Pelodiscus sinensis: one gene and its partner. The protein of the gene in region 2 interacts with the protein of the main gene of each other region in a pairwise test. Links are inferred from orthologs where the notes say so. Each region holds a gene or a part of one and is shown on either strand. Other genes may lie near its edges.

Evidence for each region.
Region 1: the proteins of RBM10 (region 2) and SF3B4 interact in binary tests that used the Homo sapiens proteins (3 or more experiments, as listed by UniProt). The link is inferred for Pelodiscus sinensis from reciprocal best matches to the Homo sapiens genes RBM10 and SF3B4.

What each region holds. Positions count from the first base shown.
Region 1 is NC_134734.1:20,278,913-20,287,004, forward strand, and holds the start of SF3B4 (splicing factor 3B subunit 4), read right to left. Parts: upstream 3,013-8,092; 5' UTR 2,887-3,012; coding exon 2,853-2,886; intron 1,564-2,852; coding exon 1,435-1,563; intron 1-1,434. UniProt on the Homo sapiens protein: Component of the 17S U2 SnRNP complex of the spliceosome, a large ribonucleoprotein complex that removes introns from transcribed pre-mRNAs.
Region 2 is NW_027465846.1:58,698-65,649, forward strand, and holds the start of RBM10 (RNA-binding protein 10), read right to left. Parts: upstream 3,012-6,952; 5' UTR 2,854-3,011; intron 1-2,853. Other genes in the region: NDUFB11 (NADH dehydrogenase [ubiquinone] 1 beta subcomplex subunit 11, mitochondrial), read left to right, coding at 3,921-4,109. UniProt on the Homo sapiens protein: Binds to ssRNA containing the consensus sequence 5'-AGGUAA-3'. May be involved in post-transcriptional processing, most probably in mRNA splicing. Binds to RNA homopolymers, with a preference for poly(G) and poly(U) and little for poly(A).

The DNA.
Region 1 (8,092 bases), on a different chromosome or scaffold from region 2:
ACTGCGTCATCTAGTGTCCGGAACCACCTCGGTCTACGTCTCCACTCCGTTGCAATTCAGATCATCTTTCTCCCTCACCTGCATCTATTGATTTCTCGTGCCCTTGGCCTCTGAAGCCTGATCTAGCCATGAAGTAGCACCGATCTAAAGGTGCCATTTTGCAACTGATTTATTTAAACTAGTGCAGCTGCACGCGTGAACACTCATCAAGTTCAATTGATGAACCGGGTTTAACACCCATAGCTCACAGCTGCAAGCTAAAGATTTAAACGGCTCTGAGTCTCCAAAGAGGGATCTGTACCAGTTTCACTACTGGCTGGCCTACACTTCGGAAGTTTTTCTAGCATTGCTATGTTGCCTGGGAGTGTGAAATAATCACATGCCGACATGGCAAAGCTGGGTCAGCAAAGATCTACATGTACATATGATACCAGCAAGTCCTTTAGTTGCTATAACTTATTCTATGTAGGGAACTACAAAATTCTGTTATATGCAGTCTCTCCCACTGGGAGAGTTTGCCAGCAAAGCTGCTCCAGCCTCTTTCAATTGTAGACAAGCCTCAAGTCTCCACTGAAACTGGGTTAAAAAGTAACGGAGCCCAGAACACGCGTCTACTCTTCAAAGTAACGCAACCGATTAGGAGGGCAACAAGAATGTGAGTAGGGATTTGGAAAGGGTCCGATATGAAGAGAGATTAAAAAGACTTGGACTTTTCATCTTAGAAGAGAGGAGACTAAGGGGGGATATGAGAGAGTTCTATAAAATTATGACTGGCCATGGAAAAAGTGAATAAGGAAAAGTTATTTACTTATTCCCACAATATAAGAACTAGGGATCACCAAATGAAATGAATAGGCAGCAGGTTTAAAACAAACAAAAGGAAGTTTTTCTTCACTCGGCACACAGTTAACCTGTGGAACTCCTTGCCAGAGGATGTGGTGAAAGCTAGGACTTTAACAGGGCTCAAAAAAGAGCTAGATGGATTCATGGAGGTTAGGTTCATCAATGGCTATTAGCCAGGAAGGGTAGAAATGGTATCCCTACCCTCTGTTTCTCTGGAGGTGGGTGACAGGGGAGGTATCACATGAGGATTACCTGTTGTAATCCCTTCCTCTGAGGCATCTGGTAGTGGCCACTGTCAGCAGACAGGACACTGGGCTAGATGGACCTTTGGGGTCTGACCCAGTATGGCCGTTCATATGTTTTTAACTGGAGTGAGACAATATGAAAATGAGATGTGGTCCGTGCTGTGTCCTAGAACCAGTGGCAACATACGCATGGAGTAAACTGAAACCCAGAAGAATGATTTAAATTATAAGCTCAGGCCTGGGGACGGGCTGGTCAGTGTTTGTACAGCACCAGGCACCACGAGGATTCGGATCTATGCGTTATTTTGCAGACACACATCTTTGAAAGGCCCCGACAGCGCCTTACCTTGATGTTGACCTGTGACTCGATCTTTGGGCATGTGAGTATTGACCACTGGTCCCGCCTGCAGGAAGAGTTCCCATAGCAGCGGCTCGCTGACCTTCTCGTCCAGGCCACCAACGTACACGGTAGCATCTTGAGAGGGGGAAGAGGAGACGGTTCTGGGTTACATGGCTCTGAAGAGGAATCTCGTTGCTATTTCAGAGGAGTTAGGAACTCCCCCCTCAGAAGAGAGGAGCTCTGTATCAAGCTTGAGCCCACTAAGTCAAAAGCAAAACTTGCCTCCACTTCAACAGCACAAGATTTGACCCCTAATGAAACACACTCCTCTGGAGTATTATACACCCAATAAGCCAGAGGATTAAAACCCGTGCTTGAAGTGCAGACATGCACCAAAGAGGTGCTAATCCCTAACTTTTAGCTAGTCCTTCAGTAGCTCTCACAGCACTTTGCAAAGGAGGTCAGCATCATCAGCCCCATAATACAGATGGGGAGACTGAGGCAGTGAGAAGAAGCAGCTCAAGATCACCCAACAGAGCCAAGAATAGAACTCAGGTGTCTCAAGGGCCAGGCCAGTGCTCTAGCAGGTAGGCTACACTGCCTCCCCTTGTTGCGTGCAAGGAAGCAACTCCCCTTAAATCACGTTTGTACAGTAACACCCTCAAACCATACCTAATGACGCTGCTGACCATGATCCCCTCCCATTGCCAAGGCAACACAAAGTCGATACTTCAGATCAAACTAAAATCTCACCCCCACCCCAAGGTATTTATTTTATGGAGGAAACTGAGGCAGAGAGAGGAGGGAAGATCTGCCCAGGGTTGCAGAGTGAGAACCCACAGCTCCCGCCACCCCCCACAAAAAACGAACTGACAGAAATCACATGCAAAGCAGAGGAACCGAATCTAGCGCCCCCACCCCTCTCACTTTTAGTGGGATGCGTGGCCCCCCCAAGCTAGGACACGCCCCATTCCCTCTGGCTTTTGGGGGGGGAGGTCGCCTCCCCCCAGCTGGGGCACAGCCCCATCCCCGCTCATTTTTGAGGAGAGGATCGAGACCCCCCCCCCCCCCGAGCTGGGACTCAGCCCCACCCCGCCCAGCTTTTCTGGTGGGGGGGGAGGGGCGGATCGGGCTCCCCTGCAGGCTCAGACCCAGCCCCCTCCCCCCGCTTTTGGGGGGAGGTCCCAGCCCCCCCTCCAGCTGGGAGGGGAAGATTGGCCCCCCCCACTGGAACCCAGCCAGCACCAGGGGCAGGATCAGGCCCCCCCAGGCTGAGGATCAGCCCCCCCCCCGGGCTGTGGGAGCAGGACCCGCCCCCCCGGCTGGAACCCAGCCCCCCCCTTCTGGCTGTGGGGGCAGGATCGGGCCCAGCCCCTCGTGGCGGGGGGGGGGGGGCGAGGGGGTCGGAGGCCGCCGCCATTTACCCTGGTTCCTCTCGGAGATGGGCCCCGCCGCCATCTCGAACGCGCTCCCGCCTCCCCCGCCGACTTCCGCCCTTTCACCCTCCCACTTCCGGCCACCGCGGCTGAAACGGGGCAGTGAACGTGGCGGCCATCTTGGACGAGGCCGGAAGTGGCCGGGGAGCCATGACGGCTAAGGGCGGAAGTCGGCCGGGCAGGCCCCTAGGGGGCCATGTTCCCTTTGGGCGGAAGTGGCTCGCTGGGTCCCTTCTTCTTCATCCCCACCCTGGTCCCCCAGGGCTAGGACCCTTGTGGTGACGTGTCATGACGTAAAGTGCCACTAGCCGCTCCACGGCCCTCTGCACCCGTTGTAGGGGATGCCCCCTCCCCGCAGAGCACCCCCCCTTGCTGGGGGGGGGCGCCTGCTGCTTGACCCCGCCCCCTATTCCCAATGCAGGCACAGGGGGCGGGGCCTAGGGGTGCCAGATGAATTAACAAATACCCCCCCCCCCCCCCCAAAAAAAACACCAGGAAAAAAATCTCTTGACCAAAGTTGAGAAAAAAAGGGGGTACTGCGCCTTTAAATGGCCCCACACTGCACCCCCACCCCCGCCCCCACCCCCACCCCCACCCCACGTCCATCCAAAGGAAGCACCAGACATTTCTCATGTCCGGTGCTGTCTGCTGCTTTTACTGAACAGGGGGCCCGAATAGCAGACAGTCCAGGCAAAAACCTGGCAACGCTGGGGGCCTGTGGGCACTGGGGCAGTTGTCTGGACTTCCCAAGGCCTCTAGTCCCAGCTGGAGACGCATGAGAGAAAAACTAAACACCCAGCGGTAGAAGATCTGTGCCCCTCGCAGGGCCGGCCCGAGCCATTTCGGCACCCCAGGCCCGGGTGCGTGGCACCGCCCCAGAGCGCATGGCGCCTGTGTGGGCCCGCCCCAGTGCGCACGGTGCATGCGCTGTCCGGCCATGGCCACTGGCGCGCAGCCTGGGGCCCACGGCGCATGCGCTGCCTGGCCGTGCAGGGCCCCGTGGCTGTGGGGGGAAGGGCGCTGCTGGCCAGCGCCACTGGGATGTGGGGGGGAGCTGGGTGCACGGTGCCTGATGGCAGCTATAAGGGACGCTACACGCCCTGTACAACTGCCGTCAAGCGCCCTCCATCAGTTGGCGCCCGAGCAGCTGCCCGGCTCGCCCACCCCTTAGTCCGGCTCTGGCCCCTCGGCCCAGGCTCTGGGAGAGAGACGCACAGACCCAGCCTCCTTGGCTATGTCTACACTGGCACGATCTTACGCCAGAGCTATGCAAATGAGGCTAAGCATGGACTATCGCCGAGCCTCATTTGCCTATCTAATGAGCTGCCATTTTTGCAGAAGAGGCTCTTGTGCCAGAAAGAGCTGTCTACACTGCCCCTTCTTGCGCAAAAAAGCACTGAGCAAGAGGGTTTTTCTTGCGCAAGAAGGGGCAGTGTAGACAGCTCCTTCTGGCGCAAGAGCCTCTTCCGCAAAATGGCAGCTCATTAGATAGGCAAATGAAGCTCGGTGATATTCTACGCTTAGCCTCATTTGCATTTCTCTGGTGCAAGATCGCACCAGTGTAGACATAGCCTTTGAGTGTGGGCTGGAGTCAGCTACGCCATGATGCTTTATTGTCCTGCAGAGCCCAACACAGCCGGTTATGTACTTCCTGCACCTTGATGGCATAATTCCTTACACCTGTGGGGTGTCTGGCCTTTTAGAGGAAGGATCTGACTGCTTTTGGGGATGTAATGGCTTCCCCTGTTTTACCTAAGAAGGTCACTATCATTATTCCCATTGTGCATATGGGGAAACCGAGGCACACAGCAATGTGATTGGTAGAGGTGCAAATAGCCCCCTCCCCCCTCCTGCCTCAGCCCAGCTGGACTACCCTGCTTTGGGTAAAGTGAGAGAGTCTCGAACAATGATTGGAGAAAATTAGATTCTATTCCTGGCTCAACAATCGGCTTGCAGGGTGACCGTAGGCAAGTCCCTGCCTCAATAGTACCTCAGTTTCCCCATCTGTAAAATAGGGATCATCGTCACCTCCTTTGTGAAATGCTTGGCAATCTACTGCTACAAAGCACCTTATAAGGGCTGATTAATTTGCAGTAGATGATCTGAACTCTTAGGTTAATAGATTTTAAAAGCACAAAAGGCCATTAGCTTAATCTAATCTGGCCTCCTTCAGAAGACAGAGAAGAGAATGTCACCCCATGATTCTGGTATCTGAGTTTAATTAGAGCATACAATTCAATGCACAGACCGCCACTCTGCATTTAAAAAATACTGAACTTTAATGAATCCTTAAATAGAAACATCACTACAAAAATATACAAAATAGAAAAAAAAATGCCCTTATTTGGATTTCCACTTAACTCATGCCTCATGTCACAGGGAATGTGTGATCTGCTGAGTTATCCTAATTTTCTTCTGAAAATAGTACTATGTATATGTGCTGTTAGTGCTAAGATATACATATAAAAAATGAGCAAAACCCCCAAATTCTTAGAAAGGAATAACCAGCAGGAAAAGGAGCCACACAGGAGTGTGCAAAGGAAATCTCATCATCTTGAAATCTTGCGCGTAAAAAGAAATGAGCCTGCTCTGAAGGAAGTGCTCTCTTTATGCTCCTCAGATAGGGGTGACAGTTCTTTCCCAGGCACTTGAAAGGTCTGAAGTTCTAGGATTCTCATGCCAACAATTCCAAACTTTGCAGACAACTGTACCAATTTCCTTTACCACAGCTGGACTGGACTCTCTGCATGCATGGGTGATGTCTATACTGCAATTCTAGGCGTGATTACTGCATGGCTCTGTCTAGACTGCATCCCTTTTCCATAAAGGGGATGAAAATTAGACACATCGCAATTGCAAATGAAGCGGGGATTTAAATCCCCCCCACTTCATTTGCATAAACAGGGCTGCCGCTTTTTTCTGGCTCGGAGCTTTGCGGGGAAAAAAGCGCCAGTCTAGACGGGGATCTTTCGGAAAATAAAGCCTTTTCCAAAAGATCCCTTATTTTAAGAGGGATAAGGGATCTTTTGGAAAAGGCTTTATTTTCCAAAAGATCCCCGTCTAGACTGGCGCTTTTTTCCAGCAAAGCTCCGAGCTGGAAAAAAGCAGCAGCCATGTTTATGCAAATGAAGTGGGGGGGATTTAAATCCCTGCTTCATTTGCAATTGCGATGTGTCTAATTTGCATCCCTTTTCCGGAAAAGGGATGCAGTCTAGACACAGCCCATGGGTTAGACATACCTGCACTTGCATGGCTAAATATTTCCAAGGTCATGTGGTGGCATGAGCTAGCAATGCAAGTACTTACCCAGATCTTGTGCAGCTTGCTCTGAAGCCAGTGTGCCTGTCCACTGCTACTTTTAGCCATGCCAGCACATCTCCCCATGCTATCTTGGATAACAGCGCAGCCCTACGCCTGTTCTAATCCACTCAGGAACTTGGCGGCTTCCAGTCCCTCTGGGTGTGGGTGTGAGAGAGAAACACACACAGGCTCCCACATAGATGTATCAGCCGGTTTTGTCATAAAACACTTGAGCTTAGACACTAAACCCATTTCCTGTGGGTTCCTAATTTGATAGCCAGGGCTTTTAAAAAAATATATAAAAATTTTAAACAAAACCATACATATGTACCCATAAGTCCAATATTGCCCCAAGAGAGTATATAATAAACGCCAATAAAAATAATCTGTTATGCCACATTGGACAGATATACAAAGCAGGCACTTGGCTCTCGGGGCAGAAAAGAAGTAGCATACAAGAACTGTGTAAACACCACCCATCTCCAGATACGCCGCTAATAAGCGGCATGAGGCCATCGGGCTACTGCCGTCGGGCATCTGTAGGTTCCTTAACGATGATTAAAGTCTCCCATCAAAGGGTTTCCTTCACTACCCTTGGCATGGGCCTGAATGCAATGCCTGCTGGAGCCAGGGGAAAAGTCTCCGATTGATGCTAATACTTGTGCCCAGCTGGTGAAATTGACTAATTGGATACGACTTCTGCAGCCTGGGGAGGGAGACGATTGGGTTCTGAATCCTGCTTTCCCCCTCCTCCCCTCAAGAAGGCTGCAGTATATGGAAGGCGTAGCGGATGACAGAGCTGTGATTCAGGCCTGGAGTTCCGCTTGCAAGCGCGGGTCCCTGAAAGGCGCAGCATTAAAGTTGCGATGCAGATTTAACGTACAAAGGGAACGGCAGCCCCAGTTTAAGGCCAGCAGCAGCCTGGGACGGGGCCGGCCGGCCTTTAGCTTTCGCTCCCCACCAAGCTCAAGAGAGATGCTAGCGGGATAGCTATGGACACTGAAGGTCTCCAAGATGGGTGCAACCCAAGCAAGCTGCTCCACACCCCCAAAACATCCACAGCGTCTCAGCCCTGGGCTAGAAGGAGCACGGGGAAAGGTGGAAATGAAATTCAGTCTCCCAGACCTGTTCATCCTTCACTGCACCAACCAAGAGGGGAGCCACGAAGCAGGAAAGGTGATGGTAGCTGGGGCAGCCGGATGCTCATGTAACGGGCGTTTGTCTCTGAGGGAAGGATGGGTCAGTTGCAGCCAGTGGGTGGTAACAATTTAGGGGGACAACCATACCTCGGTCTGCCAGGATGGCAGCTATTAAAGGTTCCCTCCCCTCCACCCATCACTCCCTCAGCTTGTGTCAAACTGGGAGACGCGGAGTGGTTTGGCCCAAAGGGCCGAGAGGAAATTTGCCTTCGCTCGGGGCAGGACAGAAGCTCCTGGGACCACACTTGGGAAATGCTTGTTCACAAGCGAAGTGCAACTACCGCCCGCCGGCCCGTGCACCCGCAACTTCCCCGCTGCCTGGAGGACTGGTGGAGAGGGGCCTGGCTCCAGATCCCCCCCGCTCTCGTTCTCCAGGGGCTCTCCAGTGGAGACCGGAAGGCCCAGGCTTAGAAAACACGTGCACAGAACGCCCCCATCGCTGGGACGTGCCTCGCCACGCCAAAGACCAGCCCCATTCCACGTGCAGCCGACGGACTGGCCCTTACCCCGCCGGGCAGACAGCGCTGTGCTGGCAGGAGAGCCTCTCCCTGCGGCACGGCCATCACCTCCCGTGGAAACGGCCTTGCTAAGCCGACGGGACGGCTCTCCCCCGTCGGCTCGGAGCGTCAGAGAGCACTACAGACCGGCCCGGAGAAAGGAGCTCGTGCTGGGGGACCCTGGCTGCTCCCAGCAACCCACTGAGGAGGGGGTCCCCCTGCTCCCCCTTTT
Region 2 (6,952 bases):
TCTCTCTGGCTGGGACCATGGAGAGCACCCCGAGTTGTCCTCTCCAGAGCACTGGGATCCTCCTCCCGTGCCCCACCTCTCTGAGCTCGCACTGCCGCAAACCTCCCCTCCCCAGGGGCTTCCCCCACCCACCTTCAGCCCAACACCCTCCGCGTTCTGCACTAGCCAGACCGCTCCGGGCTCCCCGACCACAGCCAGCCTCTCCCCCGCAGGGTTGCCTGTCCAGGAGCCCGCGGCAGGTCTAGCTGCAGGCCTGGCTCCTACAGGCCCTTCTGAGCCTCTGCCTGCATTACGCAGGGGAACGGTTCTGGGAGCCTGACACATCCTCCCCCCACAGCCCAGAGCTAGCGGCTCCGTCAGGTGCCCGGACTCGTCACATGCCGGCTCGGCTGTCTCCCAGCAGCAGGAGATGGAAGCAAGAGCATGATGCGCTCTGGGGTCTGCGAGGCGTCACCTCACGTCCGAGTGTGGCCCCGGCTGCTTCCCCGAGACGCCCTCCCGTTGCTGAGCGCCACCACCGAAGAGAAGTCCTGACAGGAACGGCCTCGCGACGCAGCCAAGGAGGTAGGAGGCCGGCTACTTCCCGGCTTCCTCGCCGGACCAGTCACCCGTGCTAGAGCCCACCTGACCGACTCCCCCAGCCCGTCGAGGGGCGCCCATGGGGCAGGCAACCTCTCTCCGTAACAGCAGGTAACGTTAGGGTAGCAGCCAGCGAGCGCTGGATCCGAGCCCTGGCCCCCCGAGCCAGCCAGCCGCCCTGCAGCTGGATGGGAGCTAGCACCCCCTGGAGGGGAAAGGCCCCCAGGTCCCATTCCCCACCCCCCAGCCGGCTGAGCATGCTGTCCCACACTGTGATCTGTGTCTCTGATGCCAGCAAGTCGCATGAGCCAGGCCGTGGCTCCTGCCCTCACTGGACACCTGCAGAGAGGGGAGTCTGATTGAAGACAGAGGGGGGGTGCTACCCCCGCTCCACCCCCTCACACAGATCGATTATCTCCAGGCCCTTGGTTGCTTTGCCCTTGGTTCCCTGCAGCACGGGTTGGGGCTGGTCTCTCCACGCTCTGTAGCAAAAGCCTCACAAAGCCCCCAAGTCCCTCTGAAACCAGCCACAGTGCGGCACGTACACGCGGTTCTCTCCACAGCCCAGGATCAACTCTCCTTCCCCCACAGCTCTGCTGACACCATGGGAACCGGGATCACCTACAGAACCAGCTCAGGGCCTAGTGACATGCTCCACGGCTCCATTCTCCACCGAGATCCTCGCCACACCGCCTAGCCCACGAGCCGCGCTATCGGAGCTGAGCGCAGGGTGCCAGGCACAAAGCCAGACAGAAAGGGGGTCTCTCCCTCCTCCGTGGCTCCCTGCCTGCAGCACAGATCTGCTTTGCCACCAAGGCACCCCTGGAAAGGGGGTCCCCAACCGTGCACTGGGGGAGCTGCCTATGAGCATCTCTGAACTCTGGGCTGTTCCTCTCTCTGGTGCTCGGTTCCTCTTTAGCTGGACAATGGCGGAGTCCTTCCCCACCTCGTGGCAAAGGAGAAAGCTGCCAGCACTTCTAAGGTCTGAGCCCGCACAGGCAACAGAAACTCCACCAAACCAATCTATTCGGGGGGGGGTCTTCTGCAACAGCGACTGGACGCCTCTGCTTGCCAGTGTCTAAGAGGCAGGGCTCAGCACCCACCCTGCGGCACCAGGCCCTTCCGGCGACGGATGAATGCCAGGGAGATGCAGTCGTGCCAGGAAGCTAACAAGCCTGTGAAACTCACTGCCACCAGGGGCCACTGAGGCAGGGGTGAAATCAAGGGTGGGACAATTCCAACAACAAGGCTTCAAAAGTGCAAAGCGAGTCTCTTGCACAAGCCCCCTCCCTTGGCAGCATCCGGGGCTGGTCCCTGGCAGACACAGGGCATGGGGGAGCTGGCCAGAGGGGGCTTCCCTTCCTCCTAGGCACCTGCCTCTGCCCCGTCTCCAGGCCCAGCTGCTCCCTGGCTCAGCCACGTTACCTCAGCCAAGCCAACTTTTCCTCTCAGTGGCACCAGAGCCGTGCCAGGCTTTCCTCTGCCCAGCACCCAGCACGGCAGGGCACCCCGAGCGCAGCCAGGGCCCGTGTAGCAGCAACACGATGGGGGGGCGAGGGAGCCTCCGGTCCCAGTTTCGCCTCCACCCTCAGCTGGCTCTGTAGTGACGGCACCCGGACCCCCAACTGCCCCCCTGGCTGGCCACCCCCCAGCGTGCTCCAGCGCCTCCGTGGCTCGTCTCTCAGCAGGTTCATCCGCCAGCTGCCCCAACCCCTCATCAGTTCCTCCCTTTCCCCTTCCAGCCCCCAGCGACCCCCACGCTCCTCTCTCCGCAACCGCCCCCCAAGTCGACCCAACTCCCCCTCCCCCACGGACTCCGAAGACTAGGTCCCAATCACAACAAGCTCCTCCCCCGACCCCCGCAGACCACGCCCCCATCTCGACACGCTCCGCCCCGAAGACCACGCCCCCATCTAGCCACGCTCCGCCCCCCGACCCCCGCAAACCACGCCCCCATCTCCACACGCTCCGCCCACGACCCCCGCAAACCACGCCCCCATCTCGACACGCTCCGCCCCCGACCCCCGCAGACCACGCCCCCATCTCCACACGCTCCGCCCCGACCCCCACAGACCACGCCCCCATCTCCACACGCTCCGCCCCGACCCCCGCAGACCACGCCCCCATCTCGACACGCTCCGCCCCGACCCCCGCAGACCACGCCCCCTCCCAACGTTTCCGGACGGTCCCACAGACCCAGCCCCCCCTTGCTTCTCTGCCAGCGCCGCCCCCCCACAGGCGCCGCGGCCCCGCCCCCCGCGCGGCGGCGCTGACCTGGGCGGCGGGAGCCGCGGGCCGGGCCGCACACACCGCTCCTCGCGCACCCGCCGCCCGCCCGACGCGCAAGATGGCGGCGGCTCCAGCGGCCGAGTTCTGCCGACTGTCCCGGCGGCGGCGAGCGCGGCCCCGCCCCCCCGCGCGCCTATTGGTCGCGGCGCCGCGATACCATTGGCCGGCAAGCCTGCCGCTCAGCGCGCGCCGGATGTGGGCGCGGGGCCGCGGCAAGTCGCTCCCAGCGCTCGCGGCACCTCTGGAGGGCCCGCCTCCCCGGGCAGGGGATTGGCTGGAAGGTCAGAGGCCCGCCCCCCCCACAGGAATAAGAATGGTGGAGCGAGCACAGGGCCCGCCTCTGCTCATCGGCGATTGGCGGAACGCTCACAGGGCCCGCCTTCCTATGCGGCCACTGAACAGCCGGGTCATGACCCAGCCGAGTGACCGCAGGGACATGATGTCATGGCCACGTCACGACGCGACGAGTTTTTTTATCATGGGTGTGTTGGGCGGTGACGCCATCAGGCAAAGTGCAGTGACGGTGTGCAGCGACCTCGTCACGTGATGTCACTGTGGCCCGCCGTGACGTCATGCACACGCTGGGGGGAACGGGGAGGGGTTGCGACTGTCGCCCAGGGGAGCTGAGGGTTTTTTTCCTCCGAGGATGAATATGGTACAGTCCAGAGGTGCTAAAAGAGGGGGGGATCATATGGTACAGTCCGGGTGGGGTGGGAATAGGCGACGGCAAACTGTACCAGGAGGGGCGGGATGAGGAAGTGCTTTTGCACTGTACCCCCCTTCCGGTAAGAAATGGTACAGTCCGGGGGGGGGGTGCTATGGGACAATCCCAGCAGAACATGGTAGAGTCCGGAGGGGGGGAGTTCCATGGTACAGTCCGCGAGGGCCGATATTTAACCCGGCGCGCGACCCGCCCCATTCCGCTCCGGTCCCTTTGTGACGTGCTCTGACGCAGCGTGAGATCGCTCCCAGCCAGGGCCCCTCGTGCCGCGGCCGCGCAGGGCGGGGTTTCCGGTTCCGCGCGTCAGTGCCCTTCCCCCCGCAGGGGCGAGATGGCGGCGCTGGGGCGGTGTGCGCGGCGCGCGCTTCTGCTGCGGGGTTTCCCGGCGCGCGGGGTTCGCGCGGGGTCGGGCCCGGGGGGCGGGGCCGCGGCTGCCGTTGTGTCCCCGCCCCTCGCCGCGCGGGCCCCGCAGCAGCCGCACGAGGAGGAGGAGGACTTGATGATGGCGACGCTGCGCAAGGTGAGGGGGCGGGGCCTGGAGGGGCGGGGGGGGTCTGAGGAGGCGGGGCCTGAGGGGGAGGGGCGGGGCACGGCACTGAGGTGGGAGAGTCTGAAGGGGCGGGGCCTGGAGGGGCGGGGCACGGCACTGAGGTGGGAGAGTCTGAAGGGGCGGGGCCTGGAGGGGGAGGGGTGGGGCTCGGAGCTGAAGGGGCAGGGCCTGGAGGGGGAGGGGTGGGGCTCGGAGCTGAAGGGGCGGGGCCTGGAGGGGTGGGGCTCGGCACTGAGGTGGGGGGCTGAGGGGGCGGGGCCTGGAGGGGGAGGGGCAGGGGGCTGCACTGGGGGTGGGAGGGGGCGTGCAGAGTAGGGATGTTAAATTTTGATTAATTAACTAACTGACTATTCGATGGATTTTCCATCAACTCTGCGATTAGTTAATCGACTATTCGATTAGCCGCCGAGGGCGCTTCCGGGTTGAAAGGCAGCAGGAGCCCGCCCGGCTCTTTCCAAGGGCTCATTGCAAAGAATGAACTGGAGCCGGGGCCAGCAGGGGACTCTGAGCCCCCCCCCCACACACACTGGCCGGAGCTCCATGGTACAAGAGCCGCCACCGCGTCCCTCCCATGGAGCTGGAGCTGGGGGGAACCGGCTTTTCAGCAAGGGGCAGGGAAGTGGCTGGTCGCTCACATCCCTAGTACAGAGCAGGGTGTGTGGGGGTGGGGCAAGTTGGGGGACCAAGGTGGGGCCGGGGATTGCATTAGGGGGCAGGGGTTTGGGCAGGCTGTTAGAGTGGGGGGGGGCTGGAGGGGGCAGAGCGAGTGGGGGTGCTCGGGAAACCCAGAGCAAGGGGAAGGGGAAGGAGCACATCGTGAAGGGATTCAGGGTTGTGGGTGGGTGCAGTGGGGCCTGGGGGCAAGTGCAGAGGGAAGGAGGGTGCAGAATGGGGCGTAGGGCAGATGGGATGGAGGGATAGGCAGGTGGGGGATTTGTGGGGGAAGGGGTTGTACTGGGCTCCAGGCTAGAGTTCCAACTCTGCCTGTGAGACCCCAAGATTCAATTCCTAATTTGCAACAGCCTCCTTGTGTGGCCTTGGGTCCATTCCTTGACCTGTCTGTGCCTCAGTTTCCCATCTGTGTGGTTGGGGTGAGGCCTGTCAGGTGCTTGGATCTCTGTGGGGGGGCAGGGCGGGATTGGGGAGTTGGGGTGGGTTGGGGGGCGGTAGAGATCGCTGGGAGAGGGCGCCATGGGGCTGATGGGAGGGATTGGTGTTGAGGCGAGACCAGGGTGATTGGGGGCACAAAGGGCTCATCCTGCTGGCAGAGACAGTCACGCGGGGGGGGGAATCCCTGCCCAAGCCCCACCCTTGCCCGTCCCCTCCCTTAGCCCCAGTGGGGGTGGGCTGAGAACCCAGCGCCTCAGACCCTCTCTCCCTGGCTGACCAAGCCAGGGCTGCTGCCCAGTCTCCTTTGTGCATTGCCCTTGGCCGGGCCCAGACAAGGTCGCTGGCGGGTGGGGAACGCTGCCTGGGAAAAGGCCCCTTCCCAGCTCTCTGCTCCCTTCACTGCCAGGGGAGGGCGCCCCCCAGCGCCGAGCTGGAGCCGGCTCCCAAGCACGGCCTCGCGGTTTTCCCCAGGGGCTCTGTCCGCAGGAGCAGCGCCTGCCTCCGACAGCTGTGCCCACCTGCCCGGGCGCCGGGCCTGGCCCCGCAGGAGTTCAGTGCCCTGCCTCACTGGCCATGGGGCATAGAGCTGCTGGCGGGGGCAGCTCCGTGCCTGGGCTTGATCGGGGGGGGGGGGGGGGGGTAGAACTCCAGGCTCTGGGAACCAAGGTGCTAAATCCCTCACTGCTGTGGCTGCCAGCCCCCCCCCCCAACTCAGTTTCCCTGTTTAGATTCCCACCCACCCCCTTAATCCTGTGTGGCCCATGCTATGTGGGTCACAGGCAGTGCCCAGCAGGGGAGCCAGCTAGCCCTGGCCATGGGGGGAGAGGGGCTGGAGCCAGGGGCCTCTGCCCTGAGGGCTGCTGGAATGAGGGGCACATTCCCCCCTTTCCTCTGGCATTCACCTGGGACCTGCTGGCCTCAGAGCCAGGACTCCTGGGTTCTCCCTGGCTGTGGGAGAGGAGCGGGGTCCAATGGTTAGAGCAGAGGGGTGACTGGGAGCCGGGACTCCTGGGCTCTCCCTGGCTGTGGGAGAGGAGCGGGGTCCAATGGTTAGAGCAGAGGGGTGACTGTGGCCAGGACTCCTGGGCTCTCCCTGGCTGTGGGAGGGGAGCGGGGTCCAATGGTTAGAGCAGAGGGGTGACTGGGAGCCGGGACTCCTGGGCTCTCCCTGGCTGTGGGAGGGGAGCGGGGTCCAATGGTTAGAGCAGAGGGGTGACTGGGGCCAGGACTCCTGAGCTCTCCCTGGCTGTGGGAGGGGAGCGGGGTCCAGCGGTTTGGGAGCCACCCACAGGCTGATCCTCTCCCCTTGTCAGACCAGGCTTGGCCAGGTTGGTGCGTGGGCAGGGACCGATTCTCAGCTCCCATGGGGCCTGCTGTCCCTCCCTTCCCCCCTCCCGAAACAGCAGCTCCGTGTGGTCTGCTGCCCTGATGCACGAGTGGGACGTGCCCTGGCAGGGTAGCGCCAGGCAGCAGACCTGTCTGTGTGGCTGGTCCCCAGCTGCTTCAGCCCAGAGGTGGCTGCATCCCAGAGGGGGGAGCGCCCGAGGACAGAGGAAGGCTGCTGTGGTGACTCGCGTGTGCCTCGGGCTGTCCTTGAGGCGCTAACGGGCCTCCCGCCAGCTGGGAACCGGGCTCTTTGCGCCTCCAAGTTCCTGCTCCTGGTGGGGGTGGCGGGCTGCCCCCTCCCTGGCTGGGTTATTTTC